Sus scrofa: one gene and its partners. The protein of the gene in region 2 purifies or fractionates together with the protein of the main gene of each other region. This does not show direct contact. Links are inferred from orthologs where the notes say so. Each region holds a gene or a part of one and is shown on either strand. Other genes may lie near its edges. The genes, in order: DERL1, FAF2, SETDB1, UBAC2 and DERL2.

Region 1 (3,514 bases), on a different chromosome or scaffold from region 2:
ATGATGCAGACCCATGAAGGGTCCAGTCACGGTCGCCTGAACGGCGCCCTCTGTGTCCCTGTGGGAGCGTGAGGTGTGGGCACATGTGCAGGGTGCCAGCTCCAGAGCCAGGCCGCCTGGCCTCGAATCCCGACTGTCACTTTAGAAGACCTTTGCTCAGTCTTGCCTCAGTTTTCACCTCTGTGAGATGGGGTGATCGCAGTGGCTGCCTCACAGGGCGGACGAGGAGATGAGATGAGCCGATAAACCTGAAGCGCCTTGTGTAAGGGAAACGCTGTGACAAGGGTGAGCTCGGCAGGCCTCTTGCTGTGGGCAGGTCACACCTCGCGCCTGCCTGCTCTCGGTGCCATGAGGAGTTTAAACAGTGGTCCCAGCTCACGGTCTTTGCTTTCAAACCAAAACATTTAGACATGAGCATCTGATAAGTGGAATGGGTTAAAATACATTCTCAGTTGACTAATCGTTAAGGAAGGGAAATAGCTGGAAAAACTTTTGAGAATGTGGAGGTCCAGGCTTACATTTTCTTAGCTGTTCCGTGACTGCATTTATTAATTTGAAAGATGGGAAATCAGCTAACCTTTCCGGGCCTCAGCCTTCCCACCATCTACAGGTGGGAAGAATGCAGGGGGAGGGCAGACTGAGTAGACTTAACACGCCCAAACTCCAAGGCACAAAGCCACCTTCTCCATTGTCCCTTGACGGGGGCTGAAGACCCCAGACGCATCACAGAGATGCCACGCAGGGCTTATGCACACCGGCTGCAAGTTTATCCTTTGGAACTGAATTTTGTATCCTTTGAGCCAGTTCAATCCGTATTTGTATAAACCAAAATGCCTTGTAGATGGTTCTTTCTGGATATTGGGCTTGTGGGTGTAATATTTTTGTTTCCATACTGTCTGCATGAATTGCTTTTATAATCAGAAAAAAAAATTTTTTTTAGAGTGACATTAGCCTGAAAGCTCAATCAATTAAAACAAAACAAAACAAAAACCACCTCAAGAGTGGGTGCCTTTTGTGGCCAGGCCCTTGCGCTAAGTGCTGAATGGGCAAAGTTTAATAAGACGGTGTCCTCAGCCTCTCCCGCAGCCTCAGACGAATGTAATTTGATGTGGCAGATGCTGCGGGAACAGCAGTGGGACGGATGACCACGTGGAAGTGACGGTGTGGCCTTCTCTCTTGTTTCTCGCCCTTTGTGCTCCAGGTACCGCTGGCTGCCCAGCAGGAGAGGAGGGGTGTCAGGGTTTGGCGTGCCCCCTGCTAGCATGCGGCGAGCCGCCGATCAGAACGGCGGCGGCGGGAGACACAACTGGGGACAGGGCTTTCGCCTCGGGGACCAGTGAAGGAGTGGCCTCTGGCCCGCCCACCAGCCTCTCCGCTCCGATGAAGTCTCCCAGTGCTGGGTGACCTTACCCACCGAGTTCTAGCCGATGCTGTTGGACCCAACCCACACTGAATGTAGTCTTTCAGTCCAAGACAGCAGTTTTTTTAAATCCTGAAGAAAAAAAATATAAGTGTTCCTCACGTTCCATGATTCTCATTCAAGTCCTTACTGCTGAGAAGAACAAATATCAGCTGTGCAAATTTCAGAACTGCCCGTGTTCTTTTGGTGTCTTCTCTCCCTTTTCCATCTGCATAGTGGGTTTCGGCAGGTCCCGCCCTGCTGGCACCAAGCTGGGCACCGGGGGTCGGGTCACCAGCCCCTCATCAAAGGGACTCTTACCTCTTTCTCGCACACACGCCTCCCCCCCTCCTCCCCAGCCCCACATTTGCAGCTAGAGGAGGTCGCCCACAAAGCCGTTCTGCCTCTGACATGCTCTGTGTATTGACTTCTGCCAACGCTTGGCTGACAAAGACCTTGCTCCACCGTTTTCCAGGGGCTGAGCTCTCGCCGTGGGGGACAAGGCGCAGCAGCGGATGGAGAGCTCTCCCAGCTTTTGGAATGGCCGTGACCTGGTGTCAGTTGCCCCCATCTGTCACGTCTTCAGCTGTTTGATAAAAACAGCCAAAAGCACCACTGAGTCAGTGAGGACCTCAGATTGCTATGAATGAGACGTGAGGGTGGTTGCTAGGCGTTTTTTTTTTTTTTTTTTTAATCCAAAGTAAGCAAAACTCTGGTGGAGTTGGATCTGACACGGGGGCTGGGTTTAAACTGCGGTGGGCACAGTCCCTTTGCATCTCACGTAGGGCACACTGGCTCTGTGTGTACCTAGAGGAGTGGGTTTGTACTGTGCTAGAAAGTTCCAAATCACATTGGCCCCAGGGATTACCTCTCTTTGCGAGGCTCCTGGGCGTTAATTCTACTTCCTTCTCTTTCTGGATATATGTTTATCGAGTAGAGCGAAGGTGAGAACCATAAACCTTATTTAAGTTGTCAATTTTATTTTATTTTTCAAACTGACACCCCCAAGCCCCTACCCCCCACCCCTGGTAGCCATGTGCTTCGGTTAATTGTGAGGAGGGTGCAGCCCCTGTGTACGTAGGTCTTATTTTAGGAGCTGTTATATGCACATCTAAGTGGAATACAAAATTTGGGGTGGTAATGGCTTTAGAGACATCTGTGTTTGAGTGTGCGAGGGTCTTTTTTAATTTTGCTTCATGAAGAATCATCAGACCAGCTTCAACATCCGCTACTCTTTTTTCATAGGTAAGCTTTTCCCATCAGAGCTAGGCTTGTCACCAAATAGTGTTTTTGAAGGCTACGATGTTTCACAGTTTCTTATTTTATATTTTTATTCTGCAAGCAGACTGCTAGGAGCAGGGTTGAGTGACTGCCATACTTTGAATCAACTGAAAAAAAAAAGGCTTTGAACATTCTGATCAGTGGCTCTTTGCAAGAAACACTGTGTGCGGACAGTGTGACTCCGGGCCTCGCTCTGACGCAGCGATGTGTGTTGTACTAGGAAATGGGGGTCTGAAAACAGCGCCTCATTTTTAATGAAGTGTGTGTGTGTGTGTGTGTGTACCTCCTCATACTTAATTTATATGATAAAATAGGCGGGGAGCATCTGAACCCTAACTGTCATATGTTCTGCTGTTGACCTGTGGCCACAATAAAATTTACTTATGAAATTTTAGAAGCCCTTCATCCTGTTATGTTGCACTCGACTCACCATGAGGAGTGGAAGCAGAAGACTCCCACGGTAAGTGAGCCAGAGTCTCTCATATGCTGTCTTAGCAGCTCAACTGCCTCAGAGCAGTAGTCTTTCTCAAGGCTACCGGCAGTCCTTAGAATTCTTCAGTTCAAGGCCAAAGTTCATTTAAGTTCTTCCTCTTAAACACATTCAGGAAGCTGATACTTTTATTACTTTTGTCTGGATAACCAATCCTTTGGGAAGAATTTTAGCTAAGCAAGCTATCTGAGATGTGACTTGGCTAGGCAAGTTGTGATGGGGGCTTCTCTTTAGGAATGAAAAAAAATCCTAATTTTGTATGGAGAAATTCCCTTTTTTGTAACCCATCCTTTTTATTGGTAAAAAATTGTAAATTAAAATGTGCAACTTGATGGTTGTCTGTC
Region 2 (3,514 bases):
GTTGAGGAGCTGGCATTGCTGTGAGATGTGGTGTAGGTTGCAGATGCAGCTTGGATCTGATGTTGCTTTGGCTGTGGCATAGGCCCATGGCTCCAGCTCCAATTTGACCCCTAGCCTGGGAACCTCCATTTGCTGCAGGTGTGGCCCTAAAAAGGCAAAGAAAGATAAAAATAGAAATAAAGGCAACTGTCAAAACTAGAATGGGTCCTGAATAAAAATGTAATGTATATTATTATAATACTGTAATAATGTGCCACCCTGATTTTGAGGGTTGTATTATGAATGAGCTTGTCATGTCATGCACAAGTATTCTGGGGTGATGGGACATTCAGTTGGTAGCTCACTTAGAACTGGTTTCAAAATAAAAAATTTTGTGTCCCATACTTCCACCTTTTCTGTAACTTGATTATTTCTAACAAAAAATGTTTAGCTTTATATCAGAAGTTTTCAAAGAAGAAACAGGTCAGTTCAGATTAGGACTAGCATTGGGCTATGTAATAAATTTCTTAGAGCTGCCCTATGTATTTGCTCTGTGAAATGGATTGACTTTGAAATGGAATTTCAATGTGATGTAATGACTTCATGTCTCAGTCATCCTGGAAAGAGCTGGAATTTATTTGATTTCATGGTTGTGTGTCTGTCTTTTTCTCACTGCCTTTTTTTTGTATGACCTCTACAGGTAATCCACGACTTCTTATTCTCTTTGAAAGAAAGCCCTGAAAAGTTTCAGATTGAAGCCAATTTTCCCCGGAGGGTGCTGCCCTGCATTCCTTCAGAGGAGTGGCCCAACCCCCCCACACTGCAGGAGGCCGGACTCAGCCACACAGAAGTTCTCTTTGTTCAGGACCTAACAGATGAATGACACTTTTTTTCCTCTCCTCCTCTCCCACCCCAATCCCTAAAAGAAATGGAAAACAAAAAAAAAAAAAAAAAGAGAAATTCATATTATTATTATTATAATACAATATTTTTTTTAAAAGACTGCTGCATCCTAAGGAAGGATCAAAAACCATGCTGCCTGCAAGAGTCACCACCTGTGTGTGTGCATGAGGTTAGCAATGAACGTTCCTGCTGGCAAGCCCACCCTTCCCTACTGCCTCTGCACCACGCACCTTCCAACGAAAGGAGACTCTTCACCTCCAACCCAGCCATGTCTCAACTGGGGAAGGGGACATTCCCACTAGTTCTCATTCATTCTTGCTTTTATGGAATATAAAAGTGAAACAAACCTCCATCAACCAGCTACTGCAGCATCTCCCGAAGACTTGCTTCTCCCACCTCTGGAGAAGAGAGGGAAGAGAAGGCACAGAGCAGAGATGTTCCTTTTACTTCCAACAGCTTATGAATAACTTTTAAATTTTTTTCTGTTGCTCTGTAATGACCAAAGGAATGAGGCTGACATAGGTGTATTTTTTTTCCCTTAACATTATTTGATAAAGAGCCAATTCTTAAACCCATGAGTTCATGCCCTGGGCTCCTCCCCACCAGAGTGTAATAAAGGTGCCCTGGGCTGGTTTGTGCTTATTTATGCAATTGTTCCTCTCATGTTCCCAGAGAGGTGGTTCTTTTTGGTCCAACTCTTTCTGTCCTTTCTTTCCATCTATGCACCCCACTTGAAGCAGTGGGAGGAAATCTGGGTTTGTACCCCTGCAAAACCTGTATGTACAGATACACCCATATATGTGGTGTGAAGTCCATGTAGACTCACCTGTACACACAACTGCAGCTTTTCTTTGGAATCTGTACCAGGTGATCATTATGGGGTCTGATCCAAGGGTTAGCAGCTCTTCCTCTTCTGACACATGAATGCTGTTCCTGCCCAGCCCTGAGCTTTCCTGAATCGCCAAGCCTGGTGCCTTTCCAGAGGACTAGCAGGGCCTGTAGTGGAACCACTAGAACCACGTAAGAGTGCCCTGCCTCATTGGGAGTGTGGTGGTGGTGTATTTTAAGGACAAAGAAACTGAGGCCTTGAAGGGAGCCAAGACAGAACTCAGCCTCTTTAAACTGTTGAAGGGCACACTGCAGTTTTTGATGTTGCCACCTGCTGGAGGCAGTTTTTATCCTCTCTATTGCTATGTTGAAGTAATAGGGGTTTTAACCTCCGAATGTCTGTGGTTGACTTTATGGTAATGGGTACATGGGTCAGGCCATGTATCAACAGATGCCAGCGTGAGCTGGCAAGTATTCCAAAGTGTTGTGTAGCTAGACTGGTGCAGACTCATAATACTGCAACCTACTGAAATTAGTGCAGTTCCCTAGGATGCTATGAGGCCAGGGGTTCATATCAAGATAAAGTATAACTTGTTAGATTTGCAGTCTCCAAAGGCTTTCTCTTGCTTAGCTAAAACCTAAGGACCATTCATTGAGGTAGCGGTGATGTGGCTACTATATTCTTTGGCCTTCCGTGGTGGGGTAAAGACCAAGGGGCAGGTTGAAGAGCCTCATGGATATCACCCGGGGAGCCTGAGAATGTCTCAGTGGCCTTGGCACAGGCGTCTACAGCACCATCTCCAGGAAAATTTTGATTCTGCTCCTGGCTGCTTATTACTCTTCCACTGTTTCCTGATGTCACAGGCCAGCCCAGATGAGTGGGAAATAAGTGACTGTTGTCACATCCGGAGTGAATACCAGGATAAACCATGTTCTCCAATCCACCTTGTGTGAAGCCTGCTTCCTGCTGACAACCATGCAGAGAGGAATTCTTAATTGAAAGCCTCCCTCCGTGTCTGGAATTCATAGCTGTTTCCCTGGCAGTACACCGGGGGTATTAAAGACCTTCGCTAGGCTGAGTGTACTGAGTATCTTGCCCACATCTCTGCGAAGTTGTAAATTTTTTTTCTGAAATAATTCCACATTCATCTTATTCTACAATGTGCACTTTATGCCTCCTGCCTTTTGATAACTTGTCCAGTAAAGGAGATGAGCCGCCAGAATGTTTAGAAAAAGTCTGTTCATGTCAGTACAGCTCTTGGGATGGCCTGTCCATTTACTTAAGGTTTCAAGAGGCACCACATGAAGCTCATGCTCCTTCTAGTCCATGTTGAAACAGCCCTGCTTTATTCAGACCCAGTTCCTGTCTCCTTGCAGACCTAGAGCTGCTGCTTAGGTGCCATCTCCTTTCCTCCCCGATAGATGCACATTTTGTCAATGCCAGTACAATCTGTATGTTACTCCCAAGGACCTCTGGGAACTTGATGGGACCTGCAAGTGAGAAAATATTGAGAAGCCCATGATCTGTAAGCATTTGCTCTTGTTTCCAAATCACCACCGGGTTATTTCAGCTGTTTCCAAATGGCAGGTCATCAGCTAAACAAAAACACTTGTTTTCAATTTTGTCCTGCACTCCCAAGACTGAAGTAGATTTGGCTGAATTTCCATAGGAAATGACCAAGAAAAGACATCCAATTGGAGTCAGTTGAATTTCCTCAGCCTCAGTGGGGCCACTTCTGGTCTTTTCCACTTCTGCAGAATTTCCTGCAGCAAATACTTGTTTCTCCTTGTTTGCCTCCACTAT
Region 3 (4,237 bases), on a different chromosome or scaffold from region 2:
GTGTAAGAGCCACTAGAATATATATATGTATATATTATTATTATTTTTGGGCTGTGCCCAAGGCATGTGGAAGTTCCTGGGCCAGGGATTGAGTTCGTGCCACAGCAGCGACCCCAGCCACAGCAGTGACAATGCTGGAATCTTATTCTACTGCACCACAAGGGAACGGCTAAATATATTTAACTATATACTGACCTCAATTTAAACTGGCCATATTCCAAAGAGTCTCAGTTTCTTTTCTTTCTTTTTTGTCTTTTGTCTTTTTAGGGCCGCACCTGCGGCACATGGAGGTTCCCAGGCTGGGGTCTAATTTGAGCTACAGCTGCCAGCCTACACCACAGACACAGCAACACCAGATCTGAGCTGCATTTGCAACCTACACCACAGCTCACGGCAGCGCCGGATCTTTAACCCACTGAGCAAAGCCAAGGATCAAACTCGCAACCTCATGGTTCCTAGATGGATACATTTCTGCTGCGCCACGACAGGAACTCCTCTTTTTTTTATTTTTTATTTTAGGGCCGCACCCGAGGCATACTGAAATTCCTAGGCTAGGGGTCTAATTGGAGCTGCAGCTGCTGGCCTACATCACAGCCAAAGCAATGCCGGATCTGAGCTGTGTCTGTGACCTACACAACAGCTCACGGCAATGCCAGATCCTTAACCCACTGAGCTGGGCCAGGGATTGAACCCACATCCTCATGGATACTAGTCAGATAGCTGAGCCACAACAGGAACTCCATGTCTCATTTCTGAACATAAAATGCTTTCCCCACAGAAAAATGTTTAAATAGTGGTTTTCAGGGAAGTTTTTCAAAAATCCAAAATACGCCCAAAGCATGGTCCTTTCAACCTTACTTCATCATTTACCTTCTTGTTGTTTAAATATGTGTTTTAAGTGACAATTAGAGCACCAGAAATAAAATTTTCTGGGGATTTAGGAGTAGAAACAGGGCTCTAGGAACTTATTAATACTTCACAGTTACATGAAACAGCAGGTCTTTACCAAGTGCACTCCTAGATGATCCTACTACAAAATCAAAACAATTAATTGTTCTGATGTAGAGTGAAGGATAAAGAAGGGAAATGGACTTAAGACTTGGACTTCTAAAAAAAAAAAAAAAAAGACTTGGACTCCTCTATTGCTAATCATATATTAGCCTCTGATAGATAAACATTATATGGGTGGTATGAGGTCAGATTTTGGCCCCTAACCTTTGGGGAAGGGTAAGGTTTTACACATCTGTACCTTCTGAAGTATAAAGTGCACAATGTCATCAATAATTATGGACAGATTTCCTTCTATTTCTCAAAAGGTCCTTACTTGGATGCATCATCAAAGAGCTGGTCAACATGGGCCACCTCGGATTCCTTCTGTATTACCCAAGTCTCCAACTCTGCTAGTTGCTTCTTGCGCTGCTGTACACAGTCCATCTTTTCCAATTCTTCATCAATGAACTGTCGAAGTTCTTCCATAGAGATACCCAGTTCCTCAACGACTGCCTGTTGCAGCTCTGCAATTTCTTCAGACTCCATTGCAGCTGCTGCTGCATCCAAACCAATGCACCCAGGGAGGGAGGACATACTGTTGTCCTCTATATAGAGAGCAGGAAACTAAAATTACTATAACGACAATACAGAATTTCAGTGACCTAACAAAACTCATTTCTACTCTGCTATTTGTTACTCAAATATATATAGGTAGGTTTGATTCCATGTTCTTTCTCCCCATTCTCCAGTGTCTGAAGCTGAGATTTTGCAGTTCTCACCTCTTGCAGGCTAGACTACAGACCTGAATAAAACGAAAAAGTTTGAGAGGGCGTGGAGAACACATATTACGCAACAGGGAGCTATCTAAAATGTTTTAGGAAACTGAAGAGAATCAACATATCGAAGAGATTTCTGTGACCTGTGTTCTTTAATTAACTAATTTGATATATCCCTGTTTGCACACCATGACTAACCTGAGTAAATATCCCCACCTGGAGCAGAGGATTTGGTCTGTAACTCAATAATTTCTTTTTAATTACTTTTCCCCCTACATTACTTTGCTTTCACATGGCAATTTACATTTTTAAAAAGTCTGTAATACTTAAGCAGACAAAAGCTTGCAGCAAAGAGGTTTCCCCAAAGTGAAAAGAAATAAAACAATTTGGGAATAAAAAATGTGGCTGCCTCAAATCGTCAATTCAAACGCCCCCACACTTTGGTGTTAACTGCTTTCCTGATCAAACGGTTCAAACAAAACTGACGCCAGAATGCCGCGCGACCCCAGTGCCAATTTTCACCGTCTCCATTTTTCTTTTGCCCACACGCCGCCCCACCCCCGTGTTACTCATTTTAGGGGTGCGTCCCACCCACCCGCGAACCCAGCTCAACCCCGCCCCCGATAGTCTCTCAGGGAAGACTTCCTACCCATCCTCACCCGACCTCCCACCACAAACAAACCATTCGAGATAAGCCCTTGGTCTCCAAATACCTCAATTAACAGTGTTTCCCACACCTCCCTGCTTCCAGCTACGATGGCTCTTTCTCACCGACCAGACCCCACGATTCAGGGGTCGGCCTCGGTAGGAAAGAACGAAACCGAAGGGAAAAGGGAGCAGGGGGAGGGGAAGAAGCGTGAGGGAGGGAAGGGGAAGAAAAAAAAAAAAAAAAAAAAAAAGACGCCGGAAGCAAACCTGAGGCGCTGTTCCGGTCGCCACGACGGTAGCCTGACGGGGTCAAATTCAAAGAGGCAGGGCGCCCCTAAAAGGGTGAGAAACGCCGCCTAATACGCATGCGTCAAAGCGGAGCCTCCCGGAGCACACGTGAGAAGAGTCTGGCTAAAGTAGGCGTGGCCTGGGGTGCATTGCAGAAGCTCCGCCTCTTCCACCACTCCAAGTGGTGGCAGTATTGCCAAGAGCCAAAAAGGATGAAAAGTTGTCTTTTTGGCAGTTGCACAATATTTCATAATATGACATAATAACCCATATTTTGAAATCTAGTTTTCAGTTTTTAGCCACTACAAATCACTCAGCAATAAACATTAAAATGGAGTTCCCCCTGAGGCTCAATGTGTTAAGAATCCTGGGTTAGGAATCCAGCTGGGGCAGCTGGGGTCGCTGTGGAGCTACTTAGAAACCCAGGCGGATGAGTTGCCCTGCCATAATGAGAGAACGCTAGAGGGTCTCGCGCTGGCAATTAAAGTGACTCTGGGCACTTTAATTTACAACTCATTGGTTGGAAATGAGTCATAAGGCCCTACCCAAACACAGAGGGGCCAGGAAGAACATTCACTCCAGGGAGGGAGAACCAGATGTATTTGATGAATCAGCACTGTTGACTACCACGGAATCTCGTCATTGCTTTAATCTGCCCAGCTATCTTTACACTAACTGCACCTAACTTCATTAAAAAAATATATAAACCTGGGGAGTTCCCGTAGTGGCTCAGTGGTTAACGAATCCAACTAAGAACCATGAAACTTCGGGTTTGATCCCTGGCCCCACTCAGTGGGTTAAGGATCCCACATTGTGGTGAGCTGTGGTGTAGGTCTCAGACGCAGCTTGGATCTAGCATTGCTGTGGCTCTGGTGTAGGACAGCAGCTACAGCCCTGATTAGACCCCTAGCCTGGGGACATCCATATGTTGCCGGTGTGGCCCTGGAAAAGACAAAAAGACAAATAAAATAAAATAAAATAAAAAAATCAGTGTTGGAGTTCCCGACATGGCTCAGCAGTAATGAACCCGACTAGTATCCATGAGGAAGTGGGTTTGATCCCTGGCCTCGCTCAGTGGGTTAGGTATCTGGCTTTGTGAGTTGTGGTGCAGGTCACAAATGTGGCTCAGATCTGGCGCTGCTGTGGCTGTGGTGGAAGCTGGCAGCTGTAGCTCCAGTTGAACCCCTAGCCGGGGAACTTCTCTATGCCATGGGTGCAGCCCTAAAAAAACCCCAAAAGAATCACTTTTCTAGACCATCACTCTTTCCCTACAGAGTTAACTCCTCCCTCTGTGGTTCTTTTATCTTAGTTCCTTTCCACTTGTGAGTTATCTATGTGTGTTTTCTCTGCTGGTTTGTGATCAACTCAAGGCTAAGGTCCTGTCTTAATCATCTTTGTTTCCCCTAGCATCTGACATATGGTGCCCCGTTATATCTAATGATTGAAGGAAATCTTTGCTCTGCCCTGATTATTTTTCTGTTAGTTAAATTCTCTTAGTTTTCTGATGTGTGTGTGGGTGGGCTGGGGGTGGAAAT
Region 4 (4,127 bases), on a different chromosome or scaffold from region 2:
GCCAGAGCCACAGCAACGCAGGATCCGAGCCGCGTCTGCAACCTACACCACAGCTCATGGCAACGCCGGATCCTTAACTCACTGAGCAAGGGCAGGGATCGAACCCGCAACCTCATGGTTCCTAGTCGGATTCGTTAACCACTGCGCCACGACGGGAACTCCGAGTTTTTTTTTTTTTTATTAAAGTACAGTTGATTTATAATGTGTCAACATTTGCTGTACAGCAAAGTGACTCGGTCATTCATATATATATATATTTTTCTGATATCTTACATTATGTTCTATCACAAGAGATTGGATATAGTTCCCTGTGCTATGCAGCAGAACCTCATTCCTTATGTATTCTAAATTTAATAGTCTGCATTTACTAACCTCAAACTCCCAGTCCACCCCACTCCCTCCCCTCCCCCTTGGGACAACCACAGGTCTGTTCTCCATGTCTGTTTGAGTTTATTTCTGTTCTGTAGATAGGTTCATTTGCCATGCATAGTTTTGTGACATCATGTACTGGTCACCTGGAAAATACTGGTTAAGTTAATCAATCTTTCCAATTGTACAGAGGGAAGGAAACTCTTCTGTATACTCCTGAGTGATTTAAGAGTAAATGGCAAACAATGTCTTTGTACCACTGTAAAGATACCTTTAGCCTTTTGTACTGCTTAAGTGGAGGGATGGTGGTTCCCACACCTACCATGAGAACCACTCAGGAGGTCCTATGCTGGCTACCGCCAAGGGCTTTCTGCAAACATGATACCCTGAAAGTATCATTTTTATGGCAAAATAAGTCAACTAGATGAATCTCAAGCTAAATATAATATGTATTTCAAAAGTGTGAACAAACTTTACAAATAAAGCCTAAAGAAAAGTCACTTTACACAGTATAAATGGTAATATTTTGGCCCACTGGCACCTCTCCTTAAGGGCAGGAACTGTGTTCTATTGATCTGCAAAGTTCACATTTAGCCCAGTGCCTGGCCCATACAAGCAGTCAAATACTACCTTTTTTTTTGAAGAGTATACTGTACATAATTTTGTAGCCTATCCTTTTCGTTCAGCCTCGTAGTTGGTCAATTCCACCGTATGTATTTCTTAAAGACTGCACAACATTAAAGTTTCCAAGCTCAAACTCACTTAAAAAACTGTAACTTTGCTTTAGCAGGGAGTAAAACTTTTGCAAGGGAAAACAATTTAAACAGCATGGGTCCAGAAGGGCTCCAGGGCAGAGATGTGGGGAGCACCGTTGCTCCGTCACAGACGCACTGCGCCTGGGACACCTGGACACCGGCCACCGCGGCGGAGAGGAATGAGGGTCCAGGGGCCACGACCCTCAGCACTTTTTTGGGGATTTCGCGCGGAACCGACATGGGGAACACGGAGGGGCAGCAGGACAGCCCTACTCTCAGCGACCGGGAAGGCCTCCCAGCTCTGCTCCCCTTGCGTCCGCAGAGCTGCCTCTCGCACTTCGCTGGACACCGGAACTCGAGACAAGCTGTCAGCAGTCGGCAGGGGAGCGAGCGCAGGAGCCGGCACGGGAGGACTGAGCATGCGTGGTGCGCGCCGGGCGTCCCGTCCGGCGAGAGGTTAGAGGTCGCCGCCGGGGATGCGCCCGCACCGGCATTCCAGGGGAACCCGCTGCTTTCGCGGCTCCGAGGGGCTTGGGGACAGCGCTAAGCACTAGTGTGAGGCTCCCAGGAGTTACACTTGTTCCTGCCAAACCATCCTACTCCTTTTCCAAGGCTCCCGCGGCCGTCGGAAAAAGCCAGAGAAGCGGCCCCTCTCGCCGCGGATGCACTTCCCTTCCCCGGCAGGAAGGGAGGCGGCTAAGGAGTTGCGCATGCGCTGTTCGCGGGCGGCCCCTGGAGTGGAGTGGCGTTGCCGGATTCACCGCCCCGCCGGGAGTGCGCCTGCGCGGTCGCCGGGCTCCCTCCGCCTCCGCTTCCCCTCCCCCTGTCCCCCGCGGGGGCTCTGGGTCCGGCGGGACCATGTTCACCAGCACCGGCTCCAGTGGGCTCTGTGAGTACCGGCCGCCGCCATCCTGGCTGGCTCCTCCACGCCACCTTGGGCAGCTCCTTGAGGAGACTGGTGGCTGCGGGGACTCTCGGGGCTGCAGGAGGTTTGGGGGCCGATCTTCCATCCCCTTGCCAGAACCTTGGTAGTTCCTGTCTGTGGCGGGGCAGCGGACACCGCCCCCACCTCGGCCTGGAGGGGCGAGTGGGAGTGAGTCCCGCCCCCAGCCCCCCCACCTGTGAGCCCCAGGTGCGATGCTCAGGTGTTCCCGGGGTGCTGCAGGTGGGCCAGGCGGTTAGGGTCGGGCTGGGTTGTTCTGGTGTTCTCCTGGCCCTGCCCCTTGCCCTCAGCGGCGCGCCTGCCAGGTAGAAAGTAGAGGCTGTCCGAGTGGAGGTGGTGTTGGAACCTCGCCCCCTTCCCCATCACCTTGTTCCATTCATTTAGGCTGCAGAGGGACCAAGCTGGCTTTTCCCCAAACGATGCAAATTACAGCCTCTGCTTCTGGAGCTGACCCTTTAGATTTACTTTGATTTTTTTTTACGCCCCCCGTCTCCCTTAGGAGTTTTTAGATAAACAAAAACTAATTAAAGTACTTCAAAGTGGGAGCAAGTTTGGAAGTAGTTTGGCAGGAAAGCAGGAACATTTCTGCTGGATGTTGTTTTTTTTGGATTGTCAGTGTGGTCAGAAGATAGAGAGCGAAGAAGTATATATAGCTTTTTAAAGAACTTTCTTTTTCTTGCTGAAGTGGCTTCATTGACTTTTGGTAAGGTGCCATGTATGCTAACTAAACAGTGCCGAGATTAGGCATGCAACAACTGCAGTGAACTCTTCGAACAGCTATAGTTTTTGCAGTTTGTGTCATTGTTGGTACTTCATGTCTCTGTACGTTTGAAGTCAATCTTGCGGAGGCAGTAGATACTTCCAGGTATTAACGAACTGTTGTGAATGTTAGGAATCTTTTCCTGAAAATACCTGTCTTAGTTTGGGAGTGAGTATCAGGGCCACGGGCATAATTTTGCATCTCTCTCCCTTCTCAGCTTTTTATGTTTTGAAGCGGGCTTAGTATTTGTGATTTCCTGGGTTTCATAATTAATTTGATTTATGGCAGCTTTCAAGCGTTGGCCTCAGAGTACGTTACAACTACTAGGTAATTAATCTTCCCCAAACTGCCCTTTGGGTAAAGAACATTATGACTGTTGAAATTGATAGTCAAGAAGGTGGGGTGTGATTTTCCTGGAATCATAACGTGAGCTGTGCATTGTGAATATGAAATGAACGGTAGTTTTCAGTTGTATTTGCTTTCTTTAATCATTTGGAAGTATCCTTCCTTGCTGACCAAAACACCTTAAAAATTTAATTGGCAAGCAAAGTCTGTTATTGGTTACTATTCTGTATGAGCCATGATTTTGACAAAGGTTATGCAAATTTGATACAGGGTGACTCTGGGGAAGGTAATGCTTGATTACCTGTGGCACATGGTTGATGAGTATTGAATTCTAGGAGCCAAACTGATGCTTAGGGAGAGGCCAAGGCCAAAGGCTCCTCCTCAGCTGTCTTGCCCTGTTTTGAAATAAATGTATCTGCAGCGTAAGAACTGATAGAATGGCCATTCCTCGGAAGGCCATGTCTTATATGCTCACTCAACAAACATTTTGAACCTCTGTTGTGGGCTGCACACTGCTGGGTGCTCAGATGGCCACACTGGACAAGCCTTGATGCCAGTGTTTACAGTGTATACAGTGGTGTTGAGGCACCATTTTCCCACGTCTCGTGGCAAGTCTGGGTGAGAAATTTTTCTTTGCAAGGCTACCCACTGAGAGGGAAGCGAGTTCCTTTTGATGATAAGTCGTGTGGCCCTTTGGGAAGTCAGAGTTCTGATCCTGAGTGAGTGTCCTGAGGATGAATAATCTGCCAAGCACAGCCCCTCGGGATGCTGAGTAACATTGTCTTTTCGAGGGAAGAGTCCTGGCCATTTCCTACCACCTGTGCATTTCTCCCATCTGTGACTGCGGGATGGTGGTGCTTTCCTCGTACACTTGCTTCGCCCCCATTCATTTAGTTACTCCGCAGTTGGCGTCTGTTGAGCCCCCACAGAAGCGCACACTGTTCGTGCACAGAGG
Region 5 (3,514 bases), on a different chromosome or scaffold from region 2:
CCACCATTGTGAGGAGTATTAGAGTATTCTGTCTTGTTGGGACTTGGCTCTTTGTTCAGACTAGAACTTGAGTATTTGCTTTAGAATTCCTCTTTACTCGGGATGTTTCTGATGGCTAACATAAAAGCATTTCTTAGCAATTGATGTTAGATCCTGCAGCTTTTCTCTGGTATCTTGAGACTACTCATTAAACTGTGATACTGCATACATGAAAGCACTGTTTCCTGTTCTGCAAGTTAACCTAGTCTTTCCATCAAACTCTTTCCATAATTTGTCTTGACCTTATGGTATGGTTTAAAAAAAAAAAAAATTAGGAGTTCCCCTTGTGACTCAGTGGAAACGAATCTGACTAGCATCAGTGAGGATGCTGGTTCGATCCCTGGCCTCACTCAATAAGTTAAGGATCCAGTGTGGCCATGAGCTGTGGTGTAGGTCACAGACACAGCTGGGATCTGATGTTGCTGTGGCTGTGGCGTAGGTCAGCAGCTATAGCTCCAGTTCGACCCCTAGCCTGGGAGCCTCCATATGCTGCAGGTAGCCCTAAAAAGCAAAAAAATAAAAAATAAAATTAAAAATCACAATTTTAAGTTTTCTGTCCTTTTATCCTTTGAAATATCCGAGGGGGTGGTAAAATCCTTCAGATTTTACCTAGAAGCAGCATAAAAATCCACTGTTAGATTGTTCACCTCACTTTTGAGTTCAGAACATAGTATCAGCTACCCATGGCCTTTCAACCATTGTAGTCCTTAGGATGTTTCTGTGTCTTGATATGGAAATGTTTCGTAGTATATTTTACTTATTCTTTCTCTTGACTTTTTTTTCTCTTAACAGATATGGAGGCTAATCACCAATTTTTTATTTTTTGGGCCAGTTGGATTCAATTTTTTATTTAATATGATTTTTCTGTATCCTTTTCTAAGTGGGCTTAGCATAAAAACTTTAGGTTTACTTAGGAAATACAATATTAATTTGAAGCTATAACCCTGTTAATTTTGTTACCATCTTAGTTATAACTTCCTGGGGGTACTGGCTCAGTGATCCACAGAATAATTGGCCAGATAGTAATGTTTTGAGGGTGTTTGTAGGTCACTATTTATTCAAGTGGGAGGTATTTAACCATAAAACATTTACGTTTCTGCCCATAAGCCACTTGCAAATCTGATCAGGGGAGAGCAGAAGTGATTTGAGCCGTACTTAAAAAGTAACACCAGCAGGTACCAAGTGATAAAACACAGCCTGGGAATGGGTTCATGGGGGATGGAGAACATGAGATCTCCTTGGATCTCGGTTGCTGGTTCTACTGGCTGAAAAGGCAGTGTCTGTTGGGCTCGCCATGTTCCAGTTTGTTGCAAGAAGGGAAGAGTTGTGCTCTGGTCAGATGTGATTGGGGCCGCTGAGCAGTGCATTTCTCCTGTACCCTGACCCTCCAGATTAAGAGGGGAGTTGGAGCTCAGCTCATTGGCAGTAGACAGAGGGCCTTGTAGGGTGACAGGCTTCCTGGCCTAGGATGGATTCCTGTGTCTTCTCTATGGTATATCGTTCTGGTAAGTTTCTTATTAAATGTTTTCATTGTCATGCCACCTTATTGACTGAGGTATGGAAATGCTTATCCACTTGGCCTGAAAAAGGGGATTATTACATGAGCCTCCTTGATGGGCATTTCCTCCCAGTTAGGTTGTGGAAAAGCAAGGATGCTGTGGATTATGCTATGGCTGAACATGGGAAGGACAGTACAGCCATGAGAAGGTGTCGTAGGTCATGGGAAGCATGTCTCTGTGGTGCCTGGCTCAGGTCCCCAACCAGGAAGAGTTTCTATAAAATAAGGAGGTAGTCTCCTCTTCACCGTGCCTAAAGCGCCCGGCCAAAGAGAAGGAGCCGTACCACCACTCATGAAGATTCTTACAGACAACGCGGAGTCCAAGTGCATTTGAGGGATCCCTTAAATTTTACTTTCTTCCTATTTGTGTGCTTAAACATTTTCTTAACTTGGAACTTAAGGTATCGGTACTGTCGAATGCTAGAAGAAGGCTCTTTCCGAGGTCGGACAGCAGACTTTGTATTTATGTTCCTTTTTGGTGGATTCTTAATGACTGTATCCTTCAACAAATAGAACAAATGCAGGAAAAGATTAAAGAATACCCTCTCTCTTCCTAGAGCTTTTCATCTGTCTCCCGGAACTCACTAGATACTCGGAATGAAGAGATAAAAGTAGACACCCCAGAGTTTAGCTTCAGGCTCCTACCGTTTATTTTGCAGCACACTTTATGTGACAGCTTTCTAAGCCTAGAGGTTGGACAGGGAAACTTTTCTACTGTGAGCAAGTCAGAGAACATTTAACCCAGGTGGGTTACTCTTAAGTATCTTAGATGTATTCTGGTCAATGGGTGTACATCATTTATTTTTAAACTCGAGTTGGTCAGACATTTATGTGGTCATTCATCAAAACAGGTAAATTATTTTTTAAAAAAAAAAAAAAGAATTATCATCTAAGCACGAGACTTGACTGTAGCACTACCTGACAAGATGGTTTTGCTCCAGCTGGCTTTATTCAGCTCTGGAAAGGTCCTCGTGGTGAAAGTATTACTGACCAAGGAATTAACACATGTTCCAAAGAGGCAAGGGCTTCATGAAGGCAGACACTTAATTTGAAGTAGCAACAGTCCCAGTGATGTGACCTAAACAGGTTTTTGCCTGACGGCTCTGGGTAATTACTTTCGGGCTTTTTTTTCTCTCCTAAATTTGTAACCACTGCTCGCCTTTCCCAATTCAGACTTCTGTTAGAACACAATCCTTAGTTCTCTTGCCCAGTCTTCCCTATTATCCTTTTAATATTGCTGTTTTCCTTAATGCCAACTGCTAGCTTTTTGGTTTGTTTGTGAGCTTAGTGTTCTTGGGCCAGGCCTTTACAATCATGCTTGTCTACGTGTGGAGCCGAAGGAACCCATATGTCCGCATGAACTTCTTCGGCCTTCTCAATTTCCAGGCCCCCTTTCTACCCTGGGTGCTCATGGGCTTTTCCTTGTTGTTGGGGAACTCAATCATTGTGGACCTCTTGGGTAAGAGTCTTAGCACTACTTTTCCTATTATTTATTTGGCAAATGTATTATGTCACTATTTTTCATGTTTATTCTGTCTGGCCTTCCTACATAGCCATTATAGGATTATTTGCTAGTTATAATCAAGACTATAATATTTGTTTTCAAACTTTTAATAAGTATATTGACATTTCTTCCTAAATAGAGGCTATTTATGTTCGTAGAGCCACCTGCAATCGAACTTCTAATCCTCTCCATCATCCTTTATTTCTGGTTGACCGTAGGTATTGCAGTTGGACACATATATTTTTTCTTGGAAGATGTATTTCCCAATCAGCCTGGCGGAATACGAATTCTGAAAACACCATCTATTCTGTGAGTAGTTAACACCAGGTCACGTGTTCCTTAACAGATTAAACCGGGGCAGGGTCCATGATATGTTTTCTCGGGGCTCCCACAGCTGCTGGCACACATAGTTC

What was found.
Region 1: the proteins of FAF2 (region 2) and DERL1 purify together in Homo sapiens (affinity purification with western blotting; 4 studies listed by BioGRID and IntAct, with this or other methods). This does not show direct contact. The link is inferred for Sus scrofa from reciprocal best matches to the Homo sapiens genes FAF2 and DERL1.
Region 3: the proteins of FAF2 (region 2) and SETDB1 purify together in Homo sapiens (affinity purification with mass spectrometry; 3 studies listed by BioGRID and IntAct, counting the BioPlex papers as one, with this or other methods). This does not show direct contact. The link is inferred for Sus scrofa from reciprocal best matches to the Homo sapiens genes FAF2 and SETDB1.
Region 4: the proteins of FAF2 (region 2) and UBAC2 purify together in Homo sapiens (affinity purification with western blotting; 7 studies listed by BioGRID and IntAct, with this or other methods). This does not show direct contact. The link is inferred for Sus scrofa from reciprocal best matches to the Homo sapiens genes FAF2 and UBAC2.
Region 5: the proteins of FAF2 (region 2) and DERL2 purify together in Homo sapiens (affinity purification with mass spectrometry; 5 studies listed by BioGRID and IntAct, counting the BioPlex papers as one, with this or other methods). This does not show direct contact. The link is inferred for Sus scrofa from reciprocal best matches to the Homo sapiens genes FAF2 and DERL2.

Annotation. Positions count from the first base shown.
Region 1 is NC_010446.5:16,337,904-16,341,417, forward strand, and holds the end of DERL1 (derlin-1), read left to right. Parts: intron 1-1,201; coding exon 1,202-1,340; 3' UTR 1,341-3,502; downstream 3,503-3,514. UniProt on the Homo sapiens protein: Functional component of endoplasmic reticulum-associated degradation (ERAD) for misfolded lumenal proteins. Forms homotetramers which encircle a large channel traversing the endoplasmic reticulum (ER) membrane.
Region 2 is NC_010444.4:81,402,265-81,405,778, reverse strand, and holds part of FAF2 (FAS-associated factor 2), read left to right. Parts: intron 1-679; coding exon 680-862; 3' UTR 863-3,514. UniProt on the Homo sapiens protein: Plays an important role in endoplasmic reticulum-associated degradation (ERAD) that mediates ubiquitin-dependent degradation of misfolded endoplasmic reticulum proteins.
Region 3 is NC_010446.5:98,290,433-98,294,669, forward strand, and holds the start of SETDB1 (histone-lysine N-methyltransferase SETDB1), read right to left. Parts: upstream 2,807-4,237; 5' UTR 2,682-2,806; exon of another isoform or gene 2,480-2,681; intron 1,596-2,479; 5' UTR 1,585-1,595; coding exon 1,325-1,584; intron 1-1,324. UniProt on the Homo sapiens protein: Histone methyltransferase that specifically trimethylates 'Lys-9' of histone H3. H3 'Lys-9' trimethylation represents a specific tag for epigenetic transcriptional repression by recruiting HP1 (CBX1, CBX3 and/or CBX5) proteins to methylated histones.
Region 4 is NC_010453.5:68,143,516-68,147,642, forward strand, and holds the start of UBAC2 (ubiquitin-associated domain-containing protein 2), read left to right. Parts: upstream 1-1,319; 5' UTR 1,320-1,982; coding exon 1,983-2,013; intron 2,014-4,127. UniProt on the Homo sapiens protein: Restricts trafficking of FAF2 from the endoplasmic reticulum to lipid droplets.
Region 5 is NC_010454.4:51,511,134-51,514,647, forward strand, and holds part of DERL2 (derlin-2), read left to right. Parts: intron 1-831; coding exon 832-905; intron 906-1,998; coding exon 1,999-2,092; intron 2,093-2,860; coding exon 2,861-3,056; intron 3,057-3,319; coding exon 3,320-3,410; intron 3,411-3,514.